Lonchura striata: one gene and its partner. The protein of the gene in region 1 interacts with the protein of each later gene in a pairwise test. Links are inferred from orthologs where the notes say so. Each region holds a gene or a part of one and is shown in the gene's direction. Other genes may lie near its edges. The genes, in order: PLIN1 and ABHD5.

Region 1 (8,796 bases):
CACTGACCTCACTGGCAGTGATGGCTGGCAGTGTAACTGGGTTAAAAGAGAAATGCTGTGTCCAGCTGTCTAGCATGGCATGCAGTTTCTGCTGCTCCTGACTTCGCAGAGTACCAGTTTGACACCATCTGAGACAAAATTGTACATTATACAGGAGATAAATTTTACATTTTTCTTCATCAGAGTTAGGCCTGTGTGTTCTGCTGCTTCCTGTAAGAAGTCTTTGTTTAATCTGTCAAGGAGATGTGAACAGACTACTCTAACCTGGACCAATGTGATCTCTTATTATTTCTGATGCTATCTAAAACCAGAACATTAAAAGGTCTCCTCTACTAAAAGGCAAAGGATGTGGAATTAAGTAGGCAGGTGAGGCAGTGCTCCAATTTACCTGAAGTTGTGGTTGGGTTTGGAATTACTTCCAAGTTTGAATATTAAGTGATAGCCTGCCAATTAAGTGTTTGAAAAGAAAAAGGTTGCTGGGCAGGATAATTAAGTGTGTTTGAGGACCAGATGTGGCCTTCAGCAGCTCTTCTTTTTAATATAGAAATGAGTAGCACTAAAAGTAGAAGCATACTGGCAGTTCAGGCCAAAATGGAGCATTATGTTCAGGATATGTATTATAGGCTATATTCTAGGCTTCCTCTCCTTTATAATATTGTTTCTTTCTCCATTTGTCTTTCATCTCCTGGCAATGTGGAAGCCATGCCTGCCTTAGTCAGAGCTGATCATTATCCCAGTGTGCAGCAACTCCTGGAAGAAAGGAAAAGGAGTCTTCATCATCTGACAGTGGAGGTTTGACCAGCTTTTGTCTTCAGAATTCCATCTTATTGCTAAAAATGTGTTTTCAGTCCCACTCAGGGGAGCTCTTAGGTGCAAAATACTTCATAAAATATTTTCACTGGTTTGCCAACTGCTTTCTCTTTCTTACACTTTTCAGGGAAAACCATTGATACAGCCCAATCCCCACCTCCCTGTGCCCTGCAGGCAAACGCTGTACAAAGCCTTGAGCCAGGCATGGATGTTTCTCCCATAGGGTCTGGTGTGGATTACCTTGTACAGCCTTTTTGAGGGAAAAGGGGTGTGAGCTTTCAGCCTGTCTCAGCCCTACCTGCCATAGGCTGGAACACACAGGAGTACCTCTGCTGGATGTTAAGCACTAATATTTGCCTTCTGCTCCCCAGCTGGAGGCTGGTGATTTAAGGTACCTTAACGTAATGTGACTGAAGCCATAGGATTGTGATCATAGGGAGAAAATCCTTTTAGTGCCTTTTTTTGTACTCTTTTTCATACAGCAGTTGGAGTAAGAATAAGATGTTTGATTATAAGCAATAAACTGTGATAAGTGTGACACTGTGTCTGTGTATAACTTGGAAGGTGGTGTAAAGAGGTGCTGAAGGAGGAGGAATTCCTCCCATCTCTGAATTTTATGAAGGGTGACACTCTTAAAAAGACATTGTCTGTGGTTAGATTCTAGAGCTTTCCTTTTGCAGTAGCCAATTGGCAGCTAGATTTATCCAGCTAATTTGGAATCACAAATTCAGCTGCAAAAACATTAAGAAATACATGAGTATCACATGAAACTGCATCCTTAGAATGCCCTGAAACAAGGTTTTTGGGAATTGCCATCAGCTTCCTGTGAGTACCAGCAGGGAGGGCTGGAGCCTTATGGCCAGTGTAGGCACAGCTGGGTGAAAGGGACAGGAGAAGCTGCATTTCAGTGTCTTATAAACAGCTTTTCATTTGGATGGTGATAGTTTAGTGACAAATGCCAGTTCAGGGAGGGAACAAAAGGTAACATCTTGGGCAGAGGGGGCAAGGGATGGAGCCAGGATAACCATTAAACTGAGCTCACTGTTAGCTCCTACCCCCTGCAGGGAGAGTCTTGCAAACTTGGAAGCTCCAAAATGTCAGCTCCTGAGCAATGTATAAAGCATGGCATTCAGGAGTGCTTTAGCAAGAGTTTCCTTCTGGATTAGTGGCCTCATACACATTTTGTAATGGAAGTAGTATGAGAGGTTTTCTTCTCTTCTGCTTACAGACAAGGCCTTCCTAACATTAACACTGTGCTTGGCATGACATTTCAAGGAATATGTGAGCCATTGGGGATTCCCAGGTGAGCATCCAGAGCAGGCAAAGGTTAAAAACCAACATCTCCGGGGAGATACCAAATACACCCATTCTGTAGAGGCAGTGTGACTGGGGGAGGGTGTGAACAGTCTTCCAAGTGTCCCAAAGCTTTTCTGCCAAGAGCAAGGCAATAAATTTGCCTCCAAATCCTGGAGATATATTGCCACAAAGAATTAAAGCACACCTATTTTTTTAACTGAAAGTAAAATAAAAAATCTAAATAGCTTGCCTAGGAGGGCATCCTTAAAAAGAAACTGGGGACACATCTGCCAGCAGTGGTTATGGGGTTGCTGATCCTGAATGGAAATGAATTAGATACTTCTCCAGCCCCCTCCCAGACCAAAGTATGAAGGTGCCTTGCAGGCACATTTGTGGATCTGGCTCATCCCCTCACTGTGGAGTATTACTGAGTATGGAGCAGACTGCAGGGAAGTGACACTGCTTCCCTGTATCCTGTGTATCTGTGAGCTCTAAACATTGCCTGCAGGAGCACAGGAGTGTTTCTGGTGCAAGCTGGAGTGCTGGGGCAGGGAGGCCGTGGTACCTTTGCCCTGCAGAGCTGGGGCTGGCACAGCCTTTGCCCCAGAGGAAGGGGAGGGGATGAGCACAGGCATTAGTAGGGCAAAGGCTGTGTTGGCTCCTGACTCCAGACAAGGGGAAGAGGAGGTTGCTGTGCCCTCTGCACTTTTAGCCAGGGGGGCTGGAAAAAATCTCAGTTTGCCAAGAGAGCAAGCTTCCAAGCAGGCTGGTGCCCTTTATCCCTCTGTCTCAAGGGCAGTGACTGACCCCAGCACCAGCTGGAAGCAGCCCAGAACATTCATGTGCCTCTGTACCCAGCCAACAAGGCAGGCACAGCCCCGGGCTGGGAGCAAATGGGAAGGAATGGGAGTATTTTCTTTCCATCTCTGCTTTTCCCATGCCCCTGAGAAGCCTCCCACCCCCATGTAGGAGCAGTGCAGCCACAAGCAGAGAGCCACGGGGCTGTGTTGGATGCTCACCTGCATGTGCTGAATGGGAGTGCTGGGCAGCTGTGGGAATTGGGGGCCACATGCCAAGGGGCTCCCTGCCTCACCAGCTGATCCAGGACACACAGCAGCCCTGGACCTCTCATCTGCACTGATTTCCCTGATTATTGCCTTGTCCTCTGGCATTTGTCCTCTTTCCACCACACTGTCCTCGTCTCATCAGTGTGGCTTGTCTGTAGTCAATAACCAAAACTTGGCATGGTCCCATACAGGTGGTGTGGTCTTCTTTTCAGTCAGTACCACAAATGGGTTTGCTAACAATGGTGTGAGTCCTCAGTGTGCCTCCTGTGCATTCAGGCCATGGAAGATCAGCATTTTAGTGAGAGCACTGCTGGTTGGTCAAGGAGAGCAGTTGTTCCTCTACAAAGCATTTGTGAATTTGGGGAACCACCTCTTGTTTTAGTCCCACCATCACAAGAGACGTCTTGAATAGTCTTTCAGAAGATCACTGAGAGAGTAAGGCATTCAGGGGCATGGAACACAGGCTGCACCAGCACAAAGTGGGGCAAAAACTCTGCTCAGAAGTGCACAAAGCAAAGATAGGAGATGTCAGGTACAACAAAGAAAATTCCAGCTGGACATTAGAAAAAATATTTTAACCATTAGTATGGTTAGCACAGGAACTGGGAAATCCCCTCACTGGAAGTTTTTAAGACTGGACAAGACCTAGAGCAGCCTGATCTGGCTTTCAGGGTAGCCTTGCTTTGAGCAAGAGTTGAACGAGGTGATCTTCAGAGATCAGTTCTAAACTGATCTTTTTCTCCATCTACCCCAAATGCCTAAAACTTTCCTAATGAAGTGTCTGCCCTGACCCTCAGCTACAGCCTCCTCACCAAAAGTCTCATGAATCATCTTAGAAATTGCAGACCTGGCCAAACCAGATTGCTTCAAGTAGAATATGTTCCCCACATCTCCCTTCTGCTCCTTGTGCTTAGTAAACTCTCCTGGGGAGGAACCACATTCTTGTTCTATGTTAGGTTTCCCAGCAGGATCGTACCCTAGTCCACCGTGAGGCACAGGAGGGCTTACAGAAATACAGGAGGGTTTTAATCTCTTAGGAAACCCTGACTATTCACCTTCTCCCTGTCTGCTCATGATCTGTTGCTTTCGAGCTGGTGAGGTCCCAGGGCAGCTTCTTCTCATCTTCTGTGGAAGGAGTGAGAAGCCACCCCAAAATGTTTCAGCCATGCTGCGGCTTCTGGACTGTGCAGGGAAGGCGACCAAGGGGATTTTCTGCCATCATCTGTTCCCAATTACGGTGGTTTCAGGGAGCTCCTTGGCCCATTTCCACCACAATCCATCAGCTCCCGAGCCCACGCAACTGGGAGGTGGGGCCTCGTGGTGGTGGTAGTGGCCAGAGCACGACACATCACCCTCACAGGACCAGGGTGAAGGCACAGTGCAGACACCACTCTCTGCCCCTGCTCTGCTGGGAACGGGCTGGCCCTTGGTGAGTAGTCTGTGCCCACTGGGTGCTCCGGGACAGCTTCACTGGGACCAGGGAGTGAGAGCAGGGATCACCCATTCTCTCTAGATTTCCAGAATTTCATCTGCTGCTAAGAAAAAGGGGACTGTGTTGGGGCTGGAGCTGAGTTTTCATCAGGATGAGTGCTGGCATTATGAGCAGCAGATATGTATGAGGGAGATGCTGACCTCAGCTGGATATCTCACCATATCCCTACCCATTGCTTTTCTATCTGCTCCTGTCCTGCCTTCTTACCCCTTCTCAGGCAGAGTCCACTCTCATGCACATCTGTTAGCATCCTGGTTGCTCTGAGTTTGCTTTGCCAGCATACTTTACCCTGCCCTTACCATAACTTCCCTAAACTACATGCTTCTGAATGAATTTTTTCATATCTTTGGGTGTTAAGGCACACAGGCAGGGCAGGGCTGCACGGAGGCTTTGGTTATACAGCTTAACTGGTAAAAAGTCAAGTGTTGGGCAATGCCACGTCCATTGCACCCACGGGAGGTGTGTGTCAGCCCAGCTGCTGTGCTTGGGGGTGCAGGAGTGATGGGGAGCCCAAGCCCAGCCCTGCTTTCAGGCAGAGTCTGCGGTTCCCAACTTTGCTTTGCAGGTGGATGCGCCACAATGACGGTGAAGAAGACTCAGGCTCTGCAGGATGGAAGTGCCAAGGTGGGTGCAGGAAAAGGGAGAGAGAAAAGGGTAGAGATGTGCCAAGGGGGCCAGGTAGTGTGTGTTGACTGTGCTGGATGAATATCAGCCACACCTCACACTGTCTCACCTGTTCCCATATTCTCTTTATATGATCTTTACCTGCAGTAGTATGGAGCATCATCAAAGGGAAAGAACAAACCTTTTTGCGTACTTGAAATTAAATAGTTCAGATTCAAAAAGGTACCCTTGAGCTGATGAAAGTACTAAGTGATAGCTGCCAACTGAGCCTGTCCTTCATCTGTGCCCCATTTAGTTCCCAGACCTCCAGCAGTCATGGAGGTTTCCACAGGGTGGAAGGCCAGAGGGAGCACCTAAACAGCTGGATTAGGATATTGGAGGAGTGGAGACCGATGCCTGTGGTGTCCCTGCTCCCTCAGTGGCAGCCAGCCTGCTTGTCCTTACTCAGCATACTTGGGAGACCCTCAGTGGGGCTAGAGAAACAGCCCCTTCCTCTTCCTGTGCAAGCCGAGGTCACTGCAACCCTCCAAGAGCCGCTGGCTGTGGGCAGTGGGGCATTCCTGGGGGAAGAGCTGTTTCTGACCCACGTCCGTGCACCATGCACAGGAGAACGTGCTGCAGAGGGTGCTGCAGCTGCCCGTGGTGAGCTCGACGTGCGAGACGCTGCAGCGCAAGTACAGCAGCACCAAGGAGTCCCACCCGCTGATGGCCTCGGTGTGCGAGGTGTACGAGCGGGGCGTGCAGGGCGCCGGCGCCCTGGCCATGTGGGGCATGGAGCCCGTGGTGCGCCGGCTGGAGCCGCAGTGTGAGTCCGTGTGCCGGGGGGACGTGGCAGGGGGGCCTGGCAGAGCATCCCTGGGGGGACAGCGCTGGCACAAGCACGCGCTGGCACGGCCCAGGCGCTCTTCTTACCGCGCTCTTGCCCACGGCAGTCGCTGTGGCCAACAACCTGGCTTGCCGGGGCTTGGACCACCTAGAGGAGAAGATCCCTGCTCTGCAGTACCCTGTTGACAAGGTAAGTCACAGGCAGGACAATCTGGGACACCCCCCCCCCCCCCCCCAGTACATCTCCTCTAGTCTTGTTTCTGCATGGCTGGGAAACAAGGCAGCATCTCCCAGTGAGGGCTCCTCCAAGGGCCTCTGCAGGCTAAACGATGGCTGGGGCTCCCAAATATAAGTCAGCAGTGTCGTGTGTCCCATCCCTGACAGCTGCCTCCAGCCCAAGTTGGAGAGAGCTGTCATGCCCCTCTTGGAGCTGTTAACTGGCATGGCTGGGGTCCCTGCGGTCCCTCTGTCTGTCCTATGCCACCCCAAGCACACCAGAGGGGCTGTTCTCCATCTCCCTGCCCACAGCTCGCATCTGAACTGAAGGACACCATCTCCTGCCCCCTCCAAAGTGCCAAAAGCACCATTGGCAGCTCCATGGATAAGATCATAGAGCTGGCAGCGGAGGGCTATGAGGCCACCAAGAACACGGTGGAAACGACAGCCAAGTACACAAGGAAGAACTCAGTGACCCAGATGGCAGCTGCAGGGGTCGACACAGCCCTGGGAGGGCTGGAGAAGCTGATGGAATACCTGCTGCCAGAGGAGGATGAAGAAGCAGGTAGTCCTGATGCCCCAAATTCCCTCTGAGGGAATCTGGAGACAACTGGCTGGGTGGCTCCTCAGTTGTAGGGTGCATGGGGCAGGAGGCAGCTCCTGGATTTTGGCATAAGGCTGCCTAGGAGGGTTGTCTCACCAGAATGTAACCTTCCCACCATTCTTCTACCTTTAGATAAGAAGCCCAAAAAGAAACGTCTGTCAACATCAAAGGTGTCCCAGCAGCAGCCCAGCACTACCACCACTCCCTGCACTCCCAGTTCTCCCAGTGCTACCAGGGCTCCCAGTGCTTACAGCACTGCCAGGGCTCCCAGTGCTCCCAGGGCATCCAGCACACCCAGCACTCCCAGCACTCCCAGTGCTCCCAGTGCTCCCAGTGCTCCCAGCACCCTGGGCCGGATTGGCGCTTTGGTCAGCACCGTGTCCCACCGAGCTTACCAGCAAACCACCCAAAGCCTCCAGCGTGCCAAAACCAAAGGGCAGGAGCTGGCCTCCTGGATACCCATCCTGGTGAGTGCCAGAACCCAACTGCTGGGTTCCTGCTCCCCCATATCCTCTTTTGAGCTGATTTTGCTTTCAGAATGGACATTTCAGGCTCCTTGGAGCAAATCTGAGCAGAGTTCACTTCCCCTGCTCAGCAGGACAAGTTGGGCCTGGCGGTTCCTGCGTGATGTTCACACATAACCATGTACCACAATAGTGGGACAAGTTATTTTTAGCAGCTTCCCAGCATGTAATTGTTGATTTATGGCCTTGCCATAACATCCTTCCTAAAGCAAAAAGCCCCTGCAGAGACCCAGAGGGGATGGGGAGAAGGAGGTACTTTTCCTACCCTGTGCTGCAGTGGGAACAACTTCCCTGACCTGTGCCAAAATCCCAGAGCTCCCATCTGCCCTCAGGATTTCTCCCCAGATGCACAAATGAACTCCCTGCTCCCTGTGCACCCCCGTGAAATCCAGGCTAAACAGGAGGGAGTGGATGGGACCAGCCAGCTCCCTCTGAGCGGTGGCGTTTCGCTCCCCTTCCAGGGAAGCCTGGCCAAGCCGAGCGCCCCTGCGGCCCCTCAGGCCCGCAGTGATGGGCAGGGCAGTGCAGGATGGCTGACCCGGCGCCAGAGCAAGGCACCGGAGCAGAAGCAGGAGAAGGCAGGGAAGAAAGACACCAACCACACCAAGGTATGGAGAAAAGCAGAGCAGTGAGCTAGCAATGCTCCAAAGCATCCTCCTACCCATGGACCATGGGGGCTGTTTCCCCATACCTTTGGGGACTAAGCCCCTAGCCCTGCTCAATTCTGAAATGCAGCTCAGAGAATGCAAGAGTGGGTTGGCAGCCCCAGGAGTCCCCTTCCCTTTCCCCAGAGCTGGGAGCTGTGGGCAGCCTCTGTGCCAGGCAAAATCACCCTGGCTTGTAGGTTCAAAACTCCTTTGGAGGTGTGGGATGTCAGCACTGAACTCCCTATTGATCCCCTGAACACCCCTGAGAAATCCCCCACTGTGGTCCCAGCAGGGAGGGGTGGTGTGACCGGTGGGGCTGGGAACAGGCTCCTGCATGGCTCCGCTGGGACCTGGGGACGGGAAGCAGCAGGTTGGGGTCGGAGCCCTTTGCCTCTGACTGCAGCGGAAGCACAGCCTGGAGCAGAGGGTCCCCCGGGGCCTGGAGTGGGGGGAGCTGGCACCGACCCTGCTGCAAAGAGCTGTGCTGGCTTTTGCAGAGCAGCGAGCTGAAATCTCTCAGGCTAAGAGCTGCAGAGGGGATAGGGAAAGCAGGACCACCCCTGTCCTGCCTGGAGGCTGGGCAGCTCCAGGAGCTGAGCTGGTTTCTCTGGGCAGGAGGGACAGGACCCCGGGCTCGTGGGCAGCGTGGCTCACAACCTGCAAACCGCCTACGCCTCGGGCATCTCCAGCG
Region 2 (8,202 bases), on another chromosome or scaffold:
AATGAGCTTCTGGAGTGATGTGGGGGTTTTATTTCGCTCGTTAGTTGCATTTCATCTCATGCTTGTCTTTCTGATTTTATTCTGACATGCTTCTTTTGTACTTTTATTCTCAGCCCTAACAACCAACCTAAAAGCTAACTTACTTTCTCCTTTCCTGTAGGTTTGTCCTTCCAGTTTGAGTGATTTAGCCAAGCTGATTTCTTAACTCATTGAAAATTGCCTTCCTGACTCCTGTGGGGTTCATGTTGATCATACTCTTTGTTCTGGTCCTGCAGATCACTAATCTCTCATCACTTTACCATTTACAGTCATTTACAGTCTCAGCTAATGACCTTTTTCAGCTATTTGCTTCTTTCTGGCTGTAATCAAAACTAGAATAGCTTTACTGTTCTGTGCAGACTTCAAAAAATCTGGAAGGCTCAGTTGTCTCCAGCCTTGTGTTCATGTATGTATTGACAGGTGAGGGAGAGAAAAAAAGAAGGTTGTGGCACAAGGACACTGCTTAAATTACACGCCCTGTCTCATGTAGCAAATGTCTCATCGGCATGGGTTCTTCACAGGGACCATGTATGACCCAGACAGACACAGTCACAGCACCTTTTCACCCACCTGAAAACATGAGATCTTGTCTCTCTCCAGCCACTCCTGTGTCTAGGAGGGAATTTTAGGTTAGTCACATGTGAGTAATGAACTCTGGAATAGCCAAGCATGACAAGATGGAAGTTCTGCCTAGCAACACGGCCTGTCACAGCCTCAGCTGCTGAATATACTGATATATTAATAATATGTATCTAGGCCCCCTCTTTGCAGTTCACTCACTCCTTGAACTCCTTGAAATTTCTCTTAGCCTTCTTGTAGCTGACTCTTGCACACAGTTACTCAACTTTCTACTGCAACTGCCATGGGCACGTTTTCAAAATGTTGCCTCTGGGGCAGATAGAGGCTATGAATGCAAACCCACTCTGAGACGGTGTGAACAGCAGCTCAGTCAGGACTGCTCTGTTCTTTACTCCCATCACATGATCATGGTGAAGAACCCAGCAAAACTTTTCTTACAATTCTCTTCAACTATACATCTTTTGTTCAAGTGCCAAAATTCACAGAGACTCTGGTTTGCCCCAAACATTCTGTCCAGGACTGTCCCCTTACAGTCGTGGCCACCGTGTCATTGATTTTCCAGTTCATGGACAGCCTGCTCCCACAGTGGGATCAGATATGAGTCCTGGAAGGAGCACAAGAAAGGTTGCCCTCCTGCACAGCAAGGGTGTGAAAGGACAAGAGGCTTAGACTGCTTTCCCATGCAGGGCAGGCCTTGGGAACAAGGAACATATTGAAGCATTAGCCTTGCTTCAAGGAGGGCCTCCCATGTCACCAAAATCCCCCACAGCTTCCAGGAGTTTGGGAATCTGTACAAATAGCCTCCTTATGCTCGCCATAGGCAGACATGTTGATTGGAAGATGTTGGCAAAGTGAATGTGGAGGAGGATCTACTGATCTCCATCAGCATTTGAATGATTCTTGGTCAACCTATACTCATTTAAAACTCTGCCTTATACCCACGTATGTCTAGGAAACAGGCTAACATGGAACAGACACACTAGGAACACAACAAGCATGTTGCCACTGGTCTCAAACTGCCACTCCAGTTTGGAGGGGAGCATGGAGACAGAGTCCACAAAGCAGTATGACAGATCTGCTGCCCAGGGATGCCATGGCCCTGTAGACAACTGGCATCTGACAGGGCCCAACAGTATGGGTCTCCAGACTCCACTGAAAACTGACATAGTTAGGACTTTTTGTTTCTTCAGTGACTTAGCCAAGACATAAACATCCTGCTGGCATAGTACTGAGGTCCAGAACCAGGCAGAAGCAGCTCAATTAATGCCAGGATTCTTCCCACACCTCAGTAAAAAAAAGAGGTCTCCCCAGAGAAACACAGACAACAGGACTCTGGGCAGAGTTCCTTATTTACATCTTCAGTGTTCCAGTGCTATTTGGGCTTCTGCTTAGGCTTAGGCACAGCTAACTCCAACTCCTGCACCTCCAGTTCCTGAGGCAGCTGACAAACAGCCTTCTCTCCTGAAGGAGCACAGCAGAGGAAGTCAGACCTCCAGTGACAGCGATGCATGGACAGAACATCCCAGAAGCATACTACAACAGCTCCAAGGTCCTCTTGCCATCACAAACAGGTTCATTTACAGAAACCAATCCATTTTATTCTGCTTTCTCTCTGCTATTCTGAGGCCTTACAAAATGTCAAAATAAGAGCAAATTACCTTATTTTCATATAAACATGTTTAAACAGTCCTAGTCTGTAATACTTGGCCAAGTCAAGCCCCTCTGCAGTTTGTTGACTGCAGAAGAGTCAGACTGATTTTAGCAAGCTGCAAACTGCACCTGATGCAGTTTGGAGAAGTAGCTTACTCACAGGTAACATACCACTTATTAAATAGAATGGTATTAAACTAATTCAATAATGAGGGCCAGATACAAGTCCCACTAAGCATCAATGCAGAAAAGTGAGAGCTTAAACAATAACAGGAACCATTCCCTTTGAGACATTTTCAGTGTCCAGAAATTTTTCTGAAATACAAAAATGGAAAAATTCATCTGAACTATTTGCCGCTCATTATATTTCAGCTGTCCTTCATTGATTTACACTCCACTGCAACATTAGCCAACTGACGCACAACTCTCTTCTACCAGCATTATCACAGTCATTTCTTCATGCACAGAAATACTGATTTATTTACATAATCAAATCAGCTCTAAGAAACTGAGTCATTTCCCAGTAAAAGAAAGAAGGACTGCTAAGTGGGAGCAAGCTGCTTGTACAATTACACTCTTAAACAAGCGTAACCCATTAGTGTTCAGGTGAGCACCACTGAATTAAAATCACAGAGATAATTGTGTCTGAACACTTGCATGTTCCACGAGTAGGATGTAAATCTCATTTATGAGGTTTTAAATTTACTATTCCATTGGAATTATAAAGAAATAAAATCATCGCATTCAGAGCTGTTGCTTCAGGCTGTTTGCAAATTCTAGTGACCATCTTTACAAACCTTTGCCAGCGATCGTATAGTTCTACACACACTGATAGTCACTTTTCTCGCAAATAAAATTTTTCAGAGCAATAATAAAAATAAATACACTCTCCTGAGGAAAATATCAGGATTGCCAAACCATTGTGACACAGCCAAACAAACTTTAGCTGAGATTGTGTAATCTCAACAATCACTGTTGTCAAATTGCAGAATGGTTTTAGCTGAGAATTATTTCAGCTATTACCAAATTCACCTTATACTTTTCATCAAAATATTTCAAAGACCAAAAGAAACAGTAATCATCATTCCATTTGTTTTTCTAAAAACAGCTTTAGAGCTCAGTGACAAAATTCAGAAGAAACACAAGACTTAAAATCTTCTTGCCACTTCCTCCTTTTGCTGCACTTTGCTGCTTTGTTTCAGTTAAGGTTTGTTGATTGCCCAATACAAATGCAGTTCTTATGCAGCTGAACAATAACACAACCAATATTATGAGGCCAAATGCTGTCTAAAACAAGAACACTCCAGCATTCTCCTCCCCATAGGCACGGCTGCACTTGAGTCTATCAAAACACTTGAAAATGACAATCGCAATAGGTATTCTACTTGGAATCGTCTTAGGGACTGTTAATACTTAAGTTGCATCCAGAACTCCTCATTTGCTTCTTATAAATGTAATACACATTACATCTATATGTAATGTAAAAACAAACATTACAACCTGGAACACCTAGTACTGGCTAGCCCTGCTGCCCTTTTTGCAGGCCTTGCTGAGCGAATTGCCAAGGATATGTCTGTGGGAGAGCTGACGCTTTAGTTTGGGTTGTGCTCCCTCTCCTGCTTTACCTGTCAGCTATGTGCTGGCACGGGGGCTTTGCCACCTCTCCAGTGCCGCTGCCCGGTGTTGTGTCCCCTCTGTACGCCACTCGGTGGGAAAGCAGTGGGGTAGATATGCACAGTATGCCAGTGTGTGCGGTGTACGCAGTTATGTCAGGACCGTGTGCAGTGAGCACAGCACAGGCTACACCCCCATGCACCGTGCGCCCCTCTGCGCGCCCGGGAAGCCGCGGCCCTTCTGCCACGGGCGTCATCTGTGCCGCCATCCCGGGAGCAGGAGCCAACCGACGGGAGCCTTGCTCCAGCCATGCCGCTGGCGGGCGCCTGGGGAGCGCCCGGGGCCCGCTCCGTTTGCGGGGCTCCGCGCCCAGAGCCCAGCGCCCGCTCCGTTTGCGGGGCTCCGCGCCCAGCGCCCGCTCCGTTCGCGGGGCACCGCGCCCAGCGCCCGCTCCGTTCGCGGGGCTCCGCGCCCAGCGCCCGCTCCGTTCGCGGGGCTCCGCGCCCGGGGCCCGCTCCGTTTGCGGGGCTCCGCGCCCAGCGCCCGGGGCCCGCTCCGTTTGCGGGGCACCGCGCCCAGCGCCCGCTCCGTTTGCGGGGCTCCGCGCCCAGCGCCCGCTCCGTTTGCGGGGCACCGCGCCCAGCGCCCGCTCCGTTTGCGGGGCACCGCGCCCAGCGCCCGCTCCGTTTGCGGGGCACCGCGCCCAGAGCCCGCTCCGTTTGCGGGGCACCGCGCCCAGCGCCCGGGGCCCGCTCCGTTCGCGGGGCTCCGCGCCCGGCGCCCGCTCCGTTTGCGGGGCTCCGCGCCCAGCGCCCAGCGCCCGCTCCGTTTGCGGGGCTCCGCGCCCAGCGCCCGCTCCGTTCGCGGGGCACCGCGCTCACGCCCGCTCACGCCCGCTCACGCCCGCGGCGCTCCGGGCGGCGCTCGGGGCAGTGGGTGGCCCCGCGGGCATGACGCAGGCGGCGGGCGGGCAGGAGGGAGGGAGTAAGAGAGGGAGGAGCCCGTGATGGCCGGTGCCGGCGCCGTCGCGCTGTCCCTCGCTTTGCTGCCGGCCGCCGCCACCGCCGCCCCTCCGCCGCTGTCAGCTGCCGACCACCGCGCCGCCGCCATGGCCGAGGAGGAGGCTCCTAGCGAAGGGTGAGTGGAGCGGCCGCGGGGTAACCCCTGTCCTCCCCGCGGCTGGCCAGACGGCGGCAGGAAGCCTTTCGGGGCGCCCGGGCCGTGCCGTGCCGCGGGTGCTGCTCGCCCGTCTGCCCGCGGCCCTGGCGGCGGGGCCGGGCGGGCTCCCGGCTCCCCGAGCGGCCGCGGGGCTCCCGCTCCGCTCCGGCCCTGCCGCGCTCCGGCACCGCCGCTCGGGCGCTCCGCGGAGCGTGGCGCACCGCCTGCCATGTTTTCCTGCCGCACCGCCCGCCTTCCTGCCATGGCTTCCCGCCTCCTGGCACGGGCGGGCTCCCGGCGGGGTGTGCCGCCGGCTCCCTGCAAGCCCCGTGTCCCCCCGCTGCTTCCCCTTCTGCACTGCAGCTCTGTTGTGGCCGGCCGGCTGTTGTCATTACACACCTGCCTGCAGGCGTGTCCCTGCGCCTTTTCTGCCGCTTTGCTTTGGCGTGTGTGCGCACTCCGACTGTCAGCCACCCTTGCCTTGCGCCCTAGAGGTCACACGGCTGTATACAGTGCTGGCCCATGCTCCTTGTGCCTCTGCGGCTTCATGCCTGCATACAGATACCCCATCTTCCCGTTCCATCCATGCTCTATTTTCGTTTTGACAGTACACTTGTGTCATCATTTTATACTTTATATAAGTAGGAGATGAGAGCACATCTATAAATTACAAGCATACACTGTTGGACTAACTTTTCTGGTACTATGTGCTTTGCCTGCTAACCTTTTATTTCCTTTCACTGTGCCAAGGCATTCACATCTACTGAAATAACTCCTATGGCATAAGTTATCCTGACCCTGTTCTTAACATGTATCTCTAATAATTGTTTGTAACCACTTCCACCCTTGATATATGACTTTGTTATAGCTAATAATCATTCTTCTGCCTGCAACTACATAGTTCCTCACTATGTCTTTTGTGTGTGTACGTTCAAATGGTTGTATACCAGTTACTAATCAATGGTATTTTCTTCAATTCACATTTTCTTTACTCAAGTATTTCTTCTTAGCGCATGCTTTATTTCTTGTTACACTTAAACTTCCATTGCAGATCCCTTTTTATACCCTTTCATTGCCCCCAAATATGTTGTCTGCCCCTGTAGAATAATACAGTCATCCTATATCTGAGTTGTTTACCAAATGTACTTAATGTATTTGCTGGTCACTTATCTCACAGTTTGTTCCATCATATTTTATGGTTCTAATCCAAACAGTGCTCTATCAGAATATACTAGCTCTACTTTAGTCATACATATGCTTTATTCCTTCTGTCAGATGTGTAAATATGCTTTATATGTATTGTTTACTTTAAGTTTTCCTCTTTCTCTATGCTCTAAATATTAGGTGGTATGTCCCATTACTGATTGCCTAGTCCTCAAAAACTAATTTCTTGCCTATTCTTCTACATCTCCCTTCTTGCATAACTAAGTCTTTCGTTATTTTGAGAAATCAGACTTAAAATTCTTCAGCTATTTGCATGAAAATCATCCCATGCATTCATGACTTATTAATTAAATGTATTGCCATTTGCATGTTGTCATGTTATGTGTCTGTTTTGTTATCTTTCAAAACTACCCCCATCCTCAGTCTTGTTCCTTTTTTAGTCCTTTTTCCAACTTGGGATTTTGGCATTTCATCTTACATATTTTCCTGCTCTGTCAGCTCAATCCGACCAGATCTGAACTATCCATCTTTTCCAAATGCCCTGTTATGCCATTATCACCATATATATACAGCATTCTTATTTCAAATGCAAACTCCAAAAGCTTCCCTTTCAAAGCACTATGCAATTTTGTCTACTCTGTAACTCTGCACTCTCCTCCTTTCCTCAAACTTGAAATAGCTTCCCAAAATTTTCACCTCCGCAGAACCTCTGCAACATTACCCACTTGAAGCTACAAGTGAAACCCTTTTTGGTTCTGTGTTCTTTCTGACCCCTTCAGTCTTAAATACAAGTAGTTTGTAAAGCTTCTTGTTGCTGGTTTACAGGTTTTCTAAGTACAAATCTTAAAATAGCTCTGGCTCAGCCTGTTTTGTTTGTGTGTTCATTCAGCGCATTAGCCTGAACTGCAGTAGCTGTCTGCTTTGATCACACAGAGTGCTGAGTGCAGCTGAGACGATGCCAAGCACTCTCAACTTGAGTTGCCTTTCAGGATTGCAGGATCGTGACACTCGTTGATAGGGTTAGGCTGAATTTTCAAGAGGATTACTGCAAGTTTCTCGTGTGGTTTACACAGCTGAGTGGCTTTTAAGGGGTGTTGGTTTTCAGAACTTCTGAACAATTAGATGTTGATGTGGTATTTTTCAGAGTAAGCCTCCCAATTCACTAAAGACTCCTAAAAACAAAATATCATCAGTCTTTTCCATGAATTAAAAAAGTGCATTTGTGTTGAAACGTTAGTGTTATTATTGGTCAGTTTCTAGTAATAATTAAAATTAGTATTTGTTCATGTTTTGAAGTCAAGCAATGCTCAGTACCCAGGGGAGGTTTATAAACAAGAGAAATATGTTAAATGATTTTTCATTTAGAATTCTGTGGCAGTGATAGGAAGTTACAATATACTATCAAACCCCTAGATTAAATTACTAGTGACAGGTGCACGCAAAGAATAAATGCAAAGTTTTATCTGCTTTGAAAACAATAGTGTGACTCAACTTGTTATGCAACACACTTGCTTTGTTGCAATTTGGTAACTGTGCAAAGCATGGTGAAAACAGAATAATAGTGGTTCAGTTACTTTCTGGAAGATCTCAGCTGAAAATTTATTCATGAAAACTTTTCATGGCCCTGTCCTAACTTTGAATTAGAAGATTAACTAAACAAATGTTTTAGTAGTCACAGTGCCAGCGATTGCTTGGTTAACATGTCACCTGCTAGTGATTTCCAAACCTGTTTACAGCCTTGGACCTCCTCTGTGTAGGTTTTAGATGGAGACTTCTGCTTTTGAGGCTGACAGCCTGGTGAGAGCCTTTTGCCAGTATCGAATCACTTATTCACAGTGGATGCAGCAAGACGGCTTATGGCTTGTAATATAGCTAGGATGAACAGCTACTAAATGTATGTATACATACAGAAAAAGGGTCCTAAACTGCAATACTGGGGATTTTTTTTTCTGCCTTTGAGAAAAGTGGAATGGTTTTCTTTAAAACAAAACTTTAAGT

Evidence for each region.
Region 2: the proteins of PLIN1 (region 1) and ABHD5 interact in a protein complementation assay, tested with the Homo sapiens proteins (3 studies listed by BioGRID, with this or other methods). The link is inferred for Lonchura striata from reciprocal best matches to the Homo sapiens genes PLIN1 and ABHD5.

What each region holds. Positions count from the first base shown.
Region 1 is NC_134613.1:16,652,794-16,661,589, forward strand, and holds the start of PLIN1 (perilipin-1), read left to right. Parts: upstream 1-5,123; 5' UTR 5,124-5,166; coding exon 5,167-5,289; intron 5,290-5,895; coding exon 5,896-6,094; intron 6,095-6,221; coding exon 6,222-6,304; intron 6,305-6,642; coding exon 6,643-6,895; intron 6,896-7,066; coding exon 7,067-7,401; intron 7,402-7,919; coding exon 7,920-8,066; intron 8,067-8,720; coding exon 8,721-8,796. UniProt on the Homo sapiens protein: Modulator of adipocyte lipid metabolism. Coats lipid storage droplets to protect them from breakdown by hormone-sensitive lipase (HSL). Its absence may result in leanness. Plays a role in unilocular lipid droplet formation by activating CIDEC.
Region 2 is NC_134603.1:115,045,278-115,053,479, forward strand, and holds the start of ABHD5 (1-acylglycerol-3-phosphate O-acyltransferase ABHD5), read left to right. Parts: upstream 1-4,858; 5' UTR 4,859-4,888; coding exon 4,889-5,019; intron 5,020-8,202. UniProt on the Homo sapiens protein: Coenzyme A-dependent lysophosphatidic acid acyltransferase that catalyzes the transfer of an acyl group on a lysophosphatidic acid.